2 linked regions of the Neodiprion lecontei genome follow. The protein of the gene in region 1 interacts with the protein of each later gene in a biochemical or structural test. Links are inferred from orthologs where the notes say so. Each region holds a gene or a part of one and is shown on either strand. Other genes may lie near its edges. The genes, in order: protein slit and roundabout homolog 2.

What was found.
Region 2: the proteins of protein slit (region 1) and roundabout homolog 2 form a complex in vitro, tested with the Drosophila melanogaster proteins (2 studies listed by BioGRID). The link is inferred for Neodiprion lecontei from reciprocal best matches to the Drosophila melanogaster genes sli and robo1.

What each region holds. Positions count from the first base shown.
Region 1 is NC_060265.1:21,800,673-21,807,311, reverse strand, and holds the start of protein slit, read left to right. Parts: upstream 1-2,747; 5' UTR 2,748-3,239; intron 3,240-6,639.
Region 2 is NC_060263.1:27,564,744-27,571,502, reverse strand, and holds the start of roundabout homolog 2, read left to right. Parts: upstream 1-2,682; 5' UTR 2,683-3,702; coding exon 3,703-3,763; intron 3,764-6,759.

The sequences.
Region 1 (6,639 bases):
TCATTCGGCTAATTGAATACAGGTTTTTTTTTTTTTTTCGGACAAGTGAGACGGCGTTGTCCCGTCACGGTTTTCTATTTTATTTCACGTACACATATAAGTTCGGCCACGCTGTTTTAGGAACGCGACATGCGCTGACAGACGCGACACGTTGTCACGCTTTTTTCCCCCCGCTTGTTTTTACACTTCTTTTCCGAGAGCGTGCTACCCCGGAATCCGCAGGATATCTTTTAAAACCAAACAGCTGTTTTTTACCCAACTGTTTTCCCTACTTCTCTCGTCTTGGTTGCCCGTTTCCTTCACACAGCCCAGCCTCGTGCCCCAAACGAAACAAATTTGTCCTCGTACAAATTTTTTCCACACCCTTTTTTTTTTTCACTACCGAAGTGAACGATTGTTATCGTTACTCGTGTACATGTACGTATACATGTAAACTTACAGTCGACGCGACGCCTATAGGCAGGTGAAAGATAAACAAACGTCGAGTGTAACCCGAATTTCCTTGAATTTGGATGGAAATGTATAGATGAAACATGACCCCGGTAAATCAACGTTTTCCACGGACTTTGATTCGACAAAGTTTAGCTCGCAAACTCGATTTCCCTAACCGAGACGCCTCGTGTGTGCTTCGTTAAACGTGCGGTGTAACAATTCAGTTGTGCAACTACGGTATCCTGCAACAGGGTTTCAGATCCGTAACTCTGACGCGTAGTTCAAATTTAAATCCGGCACTAATTACAGCTGACACATGGCCAGGTAACGTATTGCCTTCGCAGTAAACACACTCATGCATAGAAATAACAACCTCCGTCCGCATAACTTGCACAATGATTCTAGGAAGTCCATTGTATAAACTGTTGGCATTACCTTTATCAATGCTCACACATAAGCGCGTTTAACGCAGAGCCGATACACGCAGCTTCGTGATTTCACGTTGTAAACACACACACACACACACACACACACGCGCACATCTGTATACAAACAAATAATTGCGGGCGGAGAAGGCAGATAAGGCTTAGTTTGATACAATTTCTGAATCATACCGCGACGGTCGGCATCGCGTTGATTTCATCGACATCGTCGGAACTTTGCCAAACAATATGAATAGGCGGTGTTTCCCTGTATCTGATCAGTGTTCGTGTAAAAATGTACATATACAACGCACGTTTATTTTCACAATGAAAGACCGTTCACCCCTTCGCTTCGCTCCGGATCGGTTCGCACAGCCTGCAACCCCAACTAGGGTATTACTATAAGGGTAGTAGGATCGCCTCCGGTGAAAATGTTTAAATCAGACTGTCCGTTGACGGGCAAAGGGCACCCTCCTCTGCTACGTGCAATTATAACTTTCATCACATTCAGTCAGATTGACTGGATAGGAGCGAAAAAATAGCGCTCTTGTGCTGTAGGCAAAGCGCGATGCTGAACGGGGCTGTGGAAAGGAGAAAAGGGGGAGGACGTCTCCATTGTCAGAAAACGAGATCTGGGAGATGTTTTTTACCCTCTTTACTTTTTCCTCTTTTTTGCTCCGCGGCAAGTAAGAAGATCGCGGAACGACTTTTCCGGCTCTCGCGTATACCGGGGGTTTAAAATTAAACGCTTTTCTCGCCTCTCGCGAAATCGCTTTGCTCAATCTTATATATACACATATATATCTATATATACATGAAACCATGGCTTTGCAGGTTATATATCGTTTACCGTATATCCGTATCAACCGAAGCTCAGTTAATTATCTACCAAGAGCTTGAATCTATCATGTTTGGATTTTACACACACCGAAGACGTGATCCCGAGCTTTGCGGGATAAAGAGATATATCGATAATCGCGGAACCCGGCTTTTCGTGAATGTTGGCAAACTGTTTCAAGCCTGTCATTGAATAAAGTAAAGTCTGTCCCATGCGTTTAACACTGTAGACTTCGCCTGCAGACGAGAAATAAAACATCATTGGGCGAGAAGAACAAAATTAATTCTTTCTTTAAAAACTATCTTACTGGCTTGTCATTACATTACTACGCAGTTGCGTATTTTTAAATTGAAAATATCAAAGGTTCGAAAGTTTCATTTCACTTTTGGAGCGTAATACTACGATTTCTGATTTCTTGTCAGAATAACAATCTTGAAAAAATTCGACAAGATCTATTTTGTTCTCAAATAAAAATTTCCTGCGTGCAATGATTTTCATCCAAAAAATTAATCGAACATTGCAAAAGTAATTGAAAATATTCGTTTTACATCTATTGTGAATCGGGAATACTCAAACTTTCACCGAATTTCTGTTCCAAACAATCTAACGATAAGCTGTCCGTTCGAAAATCAGGATTCTAAACAGTCTAGGAAAATTGTACATGAAACATCTCCACCGATTGACCAAACGTCGTTCCAATTAATTTTCAAAATTCGAAGAAAAACATTTTTCTCGTACAAAAACCCTCGCAATGAATTTCGGAGCGACAAAACGTCTTTTCAAATGTCACGCAGACGTCCTGTTTTCGCGTGAAATTTTTCTCGCAACGACAAATTCGCAAGAGGTTTAAATTCTGCTATTACAGATAGTGAAAAAGGGGGTGGACCAATAACGAGAGCCGCAAGTCCTGCAGCAGCAACCCTACGCGAGGGGTGCAGAGTGTACAGTGGCTCCGCCGGGACGAACGTCAGCGAGCGGAAGTCGGGAAGAGAGCCGCGCAATCTCTACTTCTGATTGGTCGCGGTAGTTGTTCGTGCCACGAGCCGTTCAGCAGTTGAGCGCGAGTCTCCGAAGAGTTCGGTCGCACTTCGTTTGGACCATCTCAGAATCACCGTGGTCGACAAAAGTTGCCCGAGCAGCAGTGACGATCCGATAATTTCGAATACATTCGAATAATAGTCGAGATTTTTCGCGGAGCGATCGGATCGGATCATCGTAGTGCGGTTGCGTAGCGAATTTCGTAATCGGGAGTAAATGGTAAATCGATTTTACAGCCGAGTGTTTTTTACGCGATAATTTACACGGCTTGATATTACTACGCGTATGTAACATGTGGTTTATGTTGTGATTGTGTTTTCGGTAAAAGTGCGCGTGCGGAGTTTTTATTTCTTTCTTTGACTCTTCGACGTAATTTCGTTTGTTCGGATATTTCGTTTACCGTTCGTCGTAGTTGTCAGGACTTATCTGGGTAAATACTTGCCGCACGTTTATGCGATCGTTTTGTTCGTCGCCGATATTTGTCGACCGCTGCACTGCAAGATCGATCGGTAAGTTTGAACCTAAAGATATTTTACGAGCGTATTTTCTATACAGTGTCAAGTCCTTTGGAACTTTCATTTCTTGTACCACTCAGCGGGTATTCAAATCACCCGCGCTCCTTATTCTGGAACCGGGTTTTCCGATGGCACTCTGCGAGCCCGCGAGTTTCTCTAGAGTTTTCGAAAAACTGTTGCGAAGGTATGTTCAATGGAAGCGCGCATCCGAGCCTTCGACAAATTTACTATTCAAATATCTCTCTCGTATTAAATCACTGCCTACTCGCACAGCGAGAAAAGTGTAAGATCTCCGAAACTCCCGATTGAAAGGAGGATCGGCGGCTTCGAAACTCGTCGAAAACTCGGTTTCGCAACGTCTGTGCTAACGATGACGATTACGATATCGAAATAGGCGGGATGAATCCTTTTCTTTTTTCTTTCTACTTCGTACGGATCGTAAATTCGTTGAAACTGAATCGCTAATTGCATCTGCAGGTTTCGTGACTCTGTAAGGATATTCGAATGTAAAGGGGCGGCAGTATCGCGGGTTGCTTGCCTTCCGAGTCGCTTTCCTTCCCACCTCCTTGGTTTTAATCTATGCAAATTTGGCGATAAGAATGCAAAACCTTAGGGCAAAAGCGTCGCGGTCGAATCGCCCTCGCACTAAAATATTTGAATAATACGGTGTCCCGAGTTATTGGTATTAATCGCTTATTGTTGAGATTGATAAGATCGGCTCGCGTGCGTTTCTCGAAGTAACAATTAGGCCCGTGACGTTTTTAAAATGGCGGTTGGAGAGAAGGAGAGAGGATCGCGATTTTCGCGGCCGCGTTACGCAATAACTCGCGTCCGCAGGTTCGATCCGCGCCATTCATTCTCCTCCATTCATCGCCGCACGCATTATCATTCCGCGTTTTTTACTCCGCGCGAGGTACGACTTAGCCGGCGGAGAAGTAAGAAGCAAAAGGAGCAAGTCGAGAATGGAAGGAGAATGAACGGCGAGGAGGAATGTAAGCGAGGCTGAGGGAACGGGAACGAGAGGAACAAGAACTCCGGGATCGTGGCAGCGAGACTCCGGTTTACGAGTCGTGATGCAGCCGCACGGCTCTTCGATTCCGAATGGCTCTTATTATGCGCGATCCTTTTCTTTCAATACGGCCTCTCGCGGTTCGTTTTTTCGCGATTTTAGCGCTTATTCGCGGGTCGCGTGTTTCCGCAATTATAACGCAAACACCGCATCGCACCGAAGTTAGTAACGTTGTCGTAACGATTCGTGCTGAGGAGAAACCGTCGATATTTCGGGATTTTGGAACTGTCTGAAACGCAGTAAGCCGTAATAAAGTGGAACAAGTTCATACTTCGAAATCTTAGTTCTTTAAACATCATTGTAAAATTAAGGAAATAGCGACTTTTTCCACAATGTTTCGTTGCGATAATGTTACCAACTTCAACCACGTAATTACCGCACCCTGCGAAACGTATAATCTGCGGGTCCAGAGAGACCTGAAGCAAAAGCTACATGCGGAGAGATTGGCGAAGGGTGAGAGAGACTCGCGAATTCTTCTTCGTCGCGGAACCTGCTCGACCGCTCCGACTGCACGTGCACGCTTTTTCCGCGTGCTTCAAAAAGAAAATGTTACGGCTTATCGAGAAAATTCATTCCCGATTATACCTGCAATCGCGATCAATATTGTGCCCGGAAATTTTATGCACGGAAAATAATAATCGATACTTGAAAAATCGTGGACAAGTCAGGCTACTCCGATGTCGAATTTTTGGAAAAAATTTAAGGTTTCATCACAGTTTCGGTAAAATACTCAACGCATAACCGAGTATGCTCAACTATCAGTTACAAGTGAAAGTTTGAAGCATATCGAGCAGATTACTAAGCACTTTGAAATAAATAAACTGTAATTTCTTATGGTTAATTACATTTTGTCGTTCATTATTTCAACGTCAACAGACTCGAGAGGTGTATATTCGAATAAAACCAATTTCGGATGAGCAAACCCCGGCATAGTCAGGGAATTTGACGATCCAAAATTAGTGACAACCGCGTCAGTGTTATCCTCCCGATTCTCCTCTGGCAGCCATAATAATTATTCCTCGAGTGATAGCGAGCTTGAGAGGCACGCTGCATAAGTGCGCGACTACCGCGGCATGTACAGGGGCTTTTAGGCAGCCGTGTGGAAGCGCGATTACTGATTAGAGTTTAGGAGCAGGTTTATTCTTGAGAGTAAATAAGTTAACGAGTATGTTTATACTCGCGTCAAGTTCTCCCAAGTACGCGCAATGCGCTTGCCTACCTCTACTTTGGACTTTGGAGGGTCAGGCAGCGTTCGTTGTAAGTGTTGCGTTTCGAATCGAGATGCCGATCCCCGGGCCCCAATTCAACCCGGACGGCACTCTCACGTCAAGTTTTCTTCTTCCTCTCGACTCGGAGTCCAATTGGTCGTTTGGACGAAAGTTACGTGCGCGTATCGCTCTCTCTATCTCTCTTTCTCTCTCTCGGACCCGTCGCGTCGCAATGTGCGCCCAAAATTACCCGCAACAAGATTTATCTCATTTAAATGAGGATGTGTACTATCCATAGGGCTAGATCCGACGTTGTCGCCTCTTTAAACTTTAGAGAGAGTGAGAGAGAGAGTGAAAGAGAACCACGTAACAGCGACGTGAACTGCGCTTGAAAGCTACGAGTGCAATGAAGCGTTTATGCAGCTCGTTGCACGATGCTCTCACAATCAGCTGTGTTGGATATCCAACGCTTACATAACCTAGCCGTTTATTGTTTACTTGGTAAAATAACCCCACCGACATTTTTACGACTCGAAATTACCCTGGACCGATTAACGTTTCTTACGACAAGATATTGCTGTCGTATATTATATGTATATACATATGTGTGTGTATATTTGTACGATAATTTAGCTGATGGATGTTGGTGAATTGGGATGATAAATTCTTTTAATGTAAAATTGCCGTATCTTCAGGCATTGCGAAAAATTTTTGACTCGTTTAACGTTTATACTGTGACCGCCGAAAGTCCTAGTTTTATTAAGTGCGGTATTTGAAACGGGGAAACACGTCGATTTGGCCCCTTTTTCAAACACGAGAGTTCATGTTCCCGCACCCTCGGTGTTTTATGATGAAATTCCTAATATTCATGCGATACCGTATTATACCGGCAGGAAGAGGAGAATTTTTTAGCCAGTTATGAAGGGAAGGGTTCGAGTCAATTTTGTGTCCCCCTTTCTTTCCAGTCTCGTCGTTGCAAAAGAAAAAAGAAAAAATAAATGGAGTAACAGAGTTGGAAAAACCTTCTGTATTATAAATATCTTAAATTCTTTACTTTCTAACATTACTTTTCGCTGGAATATATAATAGCTGGAAAATCGCGTTAAAAAAATTCATA
Region 2 (6,759 bases), on another chromosome or scaffold:
TCTTTCTTTTCCTTTTTCTCTCTTTAAAAAGGAACAAAGAAGAAAAGAAGAAAGGACAAGAGAGGATAAACAGAAGGGAAATGAAAAGAAAAGAGAAACGTGACCCGCACCCCACAGATCCGCCGGCTTCTTCGACCTCCGTAAAATTATAACGCTCCCTCATCTGCAAGCTTCGATTTATCCATTCTGCGGCTGAGATCTCGATTCAATACTGATATCGGTTGGTCATTTTTCTTTTTCTTTTCATCTTCTTTTTAGAAAATTGAGGTTCGCCAATTTTTGTCGGCATAATCGATACTCTGTAATTGCCAAAAATAACAATCTGTACGATATTTCGAACGATACTAAATTTTTTCGGAAAGAACCATAAATTCAAGGTTGAAATATGCTACATAGAAGTTAAAGTAAGCTGTGATCGAAGATATAGTAAATTTGAATCGAAACAGAAGAACAATTTCGCAACGCTGGATAAAAATTTTCAAACCACGACTTTCATCTGAAAACGTAAGATCATTAATAATTTTAAAACAATCGCATTGTTGCATTTTTTTTTTCACGCAAAAACCATACCACTTATCCAATTCAAAGTATCATTGCTGCATAATTGAACTTTCCTCAAATCCTCTAATTGCAGCAACAATTTTTTTACCTACCGACGGAAGTAATCTCGAAAATATTACAGGAATATTATTCTGAATCTATAAAAAAAAATCCGAACTTTTTTCATTTCAATTTGGGGTTTTCGATCATTTTTCCACAACAGGGAAAATTCGTTTATTCTCAGTGAAATTGACAGACTTCAAGATACTTGTACAGTTTATCTTTGAAACCCCCCGATTCGAATCGAACCAATGAAAATATTCCCCTGATCGACGTTCGGCGATAGACGATGTTTCCGATTGCTTGAAAAATTTGGATCGATGGTTCGCGGCATCGGGAAAGTATTATAATAGGCGTGTGGGCGGTCGGCAAAAAATTTATTCACCCCTTTAGCTAAACTATTAATAATCGCTTATACGCGACTATGCGCTCGAACTACACAGACAATGCGTGTTAAATATAACGGGAAATATTTTGTCCGGAAGCAGGGCAACTCAGGTATACGTACACGGTGTGTATGTATATAATATATATATATATACATGGTACCTGCAGTATAATATCCGCCGATTAATCATCGAGGTATCGATTCGCGCGTTGTTTCCGTAGGGAAGTTCACCCCGTTTGATAATATGCCTCCTCCCCTGCATCAGCGCGAATTATTCAATACACCCTTCGGCCTTTTACTGTACCAAACTGAATACGGGCGCAGTGGAAGAGCCTGGATTTCTGGATCACGCGTGTTGCCGAGCCAATAGATTCTCCCGATACCGCCGCCGCTATTCGGGTCAGTCGCCATCAGCTAATACCTGGCAGATGTTTCGGCCGCGGCCTTTGCCGCGTAAGTAAACGATGATATATTACTAAATAATTGATTTACTATAGATTAACATAATCACATATACGAGTTTCGGCCCGATGCTCTCTAATGCACCGCGCAGGACCCAATTCGATCATTAAGAAAATCTCTCTCGTTCCTACCCGCCGCGTACATATAACTGTAATAAATTTCCGATCCTAAACGCGTTTCAGACCGTAGATAGAACTCACAGATATAAAAAAAAAAGAAGAAGAAGAAGAAAATATGGCGTGTGTGTGTTTGTGTGTAAAAAAAAAAAAAAAAAAAAAACCCGCTCTCAGATCTGAAAAGTCGGCCCCTCTAGACTTGCGATTAATCATTGATGTGGGCTTAATGATTTTCAATTAATGGTATTTCAGTATCTATACCTACCTGTAATAATGTCTAGCGTCAAAAAGATAATCTGAATAGCTTGGTGATAGTTTTTGACACGTTCAATCCTGAAATTCAAACTTTTTCATCCCCTGCTCGAATAATATATGTATGCATCGTTGGAATCTTAGGAGTAACTCATTCGTTTTTTTATCGTATTTTTTATACAAGCGTAAGCAATTCCATAAAAAATCCCATCTCTTCACTTTCATGTATATTACAGAAGGAAATAAGAGAAGACACATTGGGATTGTTAATCTAAGAACTGCTGCTGTTTGTGCTGGCTTTGGCTATAAAAAATTTCACTCCTAATTCCTTATCACAATTTCTCTGAAAATTTCCGTATTGTTTTATTTGACCCCTTCATTGCTGAAATAAAACCGCTGAAATAAAAAGCCGAACGTAAGAAATAGAATGATAAAAGAAAAAAAAAAAAACAACAACAAAAATCGGACACGAATCGTGAAAAACCGCGCGACCGAAGGAAGCAAAAGGCATGCGCAGGCGAAAGGGATGCCCGGTGAAAAAGATGAAGTCAAATGGAATATGAAACAAGGATCCATTGTGATGCTGGCGCGGTTCGTCCCGATTCTCTCTCTCTCTCTCTCCCTCTATTGTCAAGGCATAACCCACCCACTCGGTTCCGTCTCGGGACCCGCGATGTAATCCCGCGCCTCTCCCCGCGGGTGGCACGGGCGCGTGTGCGGCTCGTCGAGTCGAGGCGTCGCGACGCGGGTAGGCGGACGGCGTCGCGACGAGCTCTCGTGGGAGCCGAAGGTAGCCGAGTATCGCCGAAGCGGCGCGTGGCCAGGCGCAAGAATCTCAGCATCTGCAGTCGCGACTCGGCCGTCGCGCTGCAAGCATTGGCTCGTTGCGAGTTAAAGATCGCTCGAGGCGACAGCTTTTTGACAAGCGTTGTTTGTTGTTGTGCGCGGCGTGGTGACAACGGCGATTCGACGACCGGTCGAAACGATTATCGAGACTCGAGCCTCCTCGCTATGGGGAAGAAGAAACGGTTGCGGTGAATTTTTTTTTTTTTTTTCCCCATCCCAACACTCACCGCGGTTTTGCGGATATTTGAATTTAACCGCTTCGCTTTTTTCCCCGATCCCCGATCGATCCAAGATTCTCCGAGAGACTCCGCACGCCTTCGAACATGAGGAACTTGACTGTGTGAAATTCGTTTCTCAAACCGCGTGACGGTGTTTTTATCCCCTGTGAAGTTTGTCGCGTGGAGCGCAGGTTGCTTGTACCTAATTGTGGGTGGAAGGAGCGGATTCTTTGGTTATTCTTTCGTGCACTAGCGCTCTCCTTTAATCCTTCGATTTCAGTAGACGTCGATATCGGTGTTTCCATTTTTTTCACCCTCTCCCTTTTTCACCCGCATCGAAGAGGATCAAGAACCGGAACTTGAACTGTTTTCGAAATGCGAATGAAAATGAATCTTGAGGTACAGAGGGCGAATAAATAACTCGCTTGTTTCAACGGTGATTTTATTATGTGTCTGTGTATTATTACTTTCGTCGTTTCGCTTTCTTTCCGATACCTCGATTAAGAAAAAAAGAGAAGAGTAAAAAAAAAGTAACAAGAAAGAAAGAAATCGCGAACGCGAGGAAAACAGAATTCAGTGGTTGGTGAAAAAAAGTGCGAGACCGTAGTTGAAAAGTGTGTATCATACGAAAAGAGATTTAAAGTGATTTATATCAAGTGGTAGGGGGAAAAGAAAAAAAAAAAGAAAAATTAATAAATGAAAAAAGGATCGGAATGTAGTGCGTTTAGGAGTAAATCAAAACCCTTTGTTTTACTGATTATCATTTCCCCGTTTCTACGCAATTATTATAAATAAAGTGGTGCTTTGGATATCGTCGAAAATGCGGCCCGAGGACAGCAGGTGTCTGATTCTTCTGACCCTTTTGACGGTCGCGACTAAAGGTGAGAATTTCTACTACAGAAGTCCTAAAAAATGAAAAGAAATGAAAAAAAACCACACGTATTCAGGGAATTGGAGTTTGACCATCGATACGCGAGTCGAGTAAAAACACGTCCCGATACCCAAATTCGAGGAAACTTTTTGTCTCGCCAACTCTCGGGTACGAAGTTCCAAGAATCGGCGGCCTGAATGAACGAAACGATTTAGAACTGTATCGAATCGTTTGTACCGAATGAACCATTCTCCCTTTTGGTTCGCTGCTCGTATCCGGCGGACACTCTTTTCTTTCGACAAACTTTTAATGTAACGGTATACGTACAATTTTATGAAAGACAGTCATTTTGCAACATTCAGATTGCCTCGAATTTCGTAAACCGTAAACATATGCGTCCCTTGTAAATTTAATCCCAAATTCAATTCAGTAATTGCGAAATAACGAATTGTTCTCCAATTTTTTTGTTACAATTACGTTACCAACTTCTCAGGCTGAAGTTTGTAACGTTATTGTAATGAAGCATCTTTCGAAAAACTCATTGTTTTGCGATTTTAAAGGATTACCTGAAATTTAAGAAACCGTTAATAAAGCATGAACAAACTCAGATTTTGTAAATTTAAATTCCACAGTTATCCTAAAGGTGCAAAATAATCATTTTTGTTTCAATGTTTTAATACGGTAACTTCAGTCTCGCACTAACTTGAACGTTGTTCAAGAAAAATCGTTATTGTGTAATTTTAGGATTGCATTAACCGTCTGAAACTCATTAAACCGTGTGACGATCCAAAATTATTCGTACTTTAAACATTCAACTATTTCATATAGTTATTCCGAAATTGAAAAACTATCATTTTAGTTTCAATGTTTCATCAGGTTCACGTCATTAACTTCAAGTCGTCAGGATATTACTATACATTTCAATAAATAAAAGGGACCATAAAATTCACTTACTTCGTTGTTTTTTGTGATCATATAACCCATAGGACTCTGTTCTGAACAATCTTCTTCAATTTCTTCCATATCCTCTTTGACTTTTTCTCAGTCTTCTTCTTGTTTCGTACGTGAATTGCAGGGGGACACGAAGTTGTGAATAATGAATCATAATCCACATAATAGCGAACGACGCGACGGGAGACTAACTCGAAGGCACGTAGTTCTTCCGATCCTCTGTAATACCGTATCACAATCAGTCTCCCTCTCATCGCATCTCTCTTCATCCTACTCTCGATTTATATTACAAGTTTCGATACATGAAAATTTCCCCCCCGCGCATTGTTGGTAATTGTGCAGTCACGAGCTTTACGATACTTTTTTTAATTTGAAATCGCCTTTTTTCTCTATTTCTGAAACTCTCAAGACTTTTGAACTTCATATTTTCGAAATCCTAAAACTAACCAATTTTTTCACAAGATTTCAAGTTCCAGACGAGGAAAATTTATTATCACAATGTCAGCCTCGGGTGAAAAGTTTTTCAAATACATATATTTATATATATATCTATACTCAAATTGCACATGATTTTCTTGTAACAATCGGTCGAAAACTGAGGATTTATCCGTTTTCTTTTTTTTCTCCTTTATTCTTGTATCAGCGATTGGCTTGCGAGAAATTAAGAGCACGAATAGATTGCAATAAAAGTGTCGTCTACGATTATTTCTGGGCGTTGAACGTTAACGCGGCTAAATCGTGATTTTTGTTGTTCGTCCGTCACCATCGAGTGTTAATTTTTTACACCGTGTACCAAATACAGGCATACCGAGGTAAGAAAGATGAGACGATTTCTGTACCTTGAGGGTGAAAGGATCGATCGATACTTTGATCGATCACTTGTTCGAGACCCGTAATCTGGCTACTAATCGAAAACGTGCAAGGCAAATTGACAACTCACGTATAACCACCATACGCGTCCGTTATTCGATCTCGTCGCGGTCCCGGAACACCTCTCGTTAATATATTGAAAGAAAAAGAGGTGAGAAAAAAGAGGCGTGAAAAAATTGAATTAACCTAAAAATCCAAATAATTCTTATCCGCCTCTCCATTTTTTTGGTAATCGTTTTCTCGAGTAAGGAACATATTTTGTGTCCATGAACTTTCAAACGTTCAACGAACTTTATTATTATTATAACCGGCTGCGTTACACACGAAACGCCGATATGGATTATTATATTCCCTCGGGCATTCGTTACACATGTATATCCTATACGGAGTGGTTATCGTCTGAAGACAGCCTCGTTTATACACAAGATATAATATTCCGTATGAATGCTATCTCCCTACTCGAGTATTTTCATCGTCGTTTGAAATCCCTGACCAATGAATTATAAGAATAAGAAGAAGCTGCTGCCCGGGACCGTCTGGTAATTGATACAGACTACATAATTTAAGCTATCTCTTAATTTACGTACGTGCTTATAGTTTTCCCCGACTCTCCGATCTTCTTGTAACTGCGTATACCGTCATAATCGCATCGTAATTTACGCGTTCACCGAGTGTCCCTACGTCTGTATTACACACGCGTACGCATATTACTGTATACAATAATAATGTGTGCAGAATTCGCGGCGTTGCAGCAGAGCCACTCGACACGACTCGTAACTCGAATTATATGTACGTAGCAGTTGGGGCATAAGGGCCAACGCCAGCAACTATGCTCTACAATAATTTAGCCATTATTATCCAGTAGTCAGCCCTTAACGTCCTGAATTTCGGTGTTCAATTCTGCGGGACCAGTTTCTAGCCGTGTGTAAGCATGCGTTTATATACGCGTTTAGTCTACGAAATTCTATGAACATAGCTCATTGTTAGTGATATTTCTATTCTTGTGGATACATACCGTCCGTGAACGTTGTCTAGGTACATCGTAGGTACCAATAATAGTACTTTAGTTAGATAACGCGCAACGCGGCAAAAAACAGGAATAAGTCTGGCAGGCAACGATCGTCGTGTTGTAAAATTGTAAATCGATTACGTTACGGCACTCTGAAACGACTATACTTGTTATTT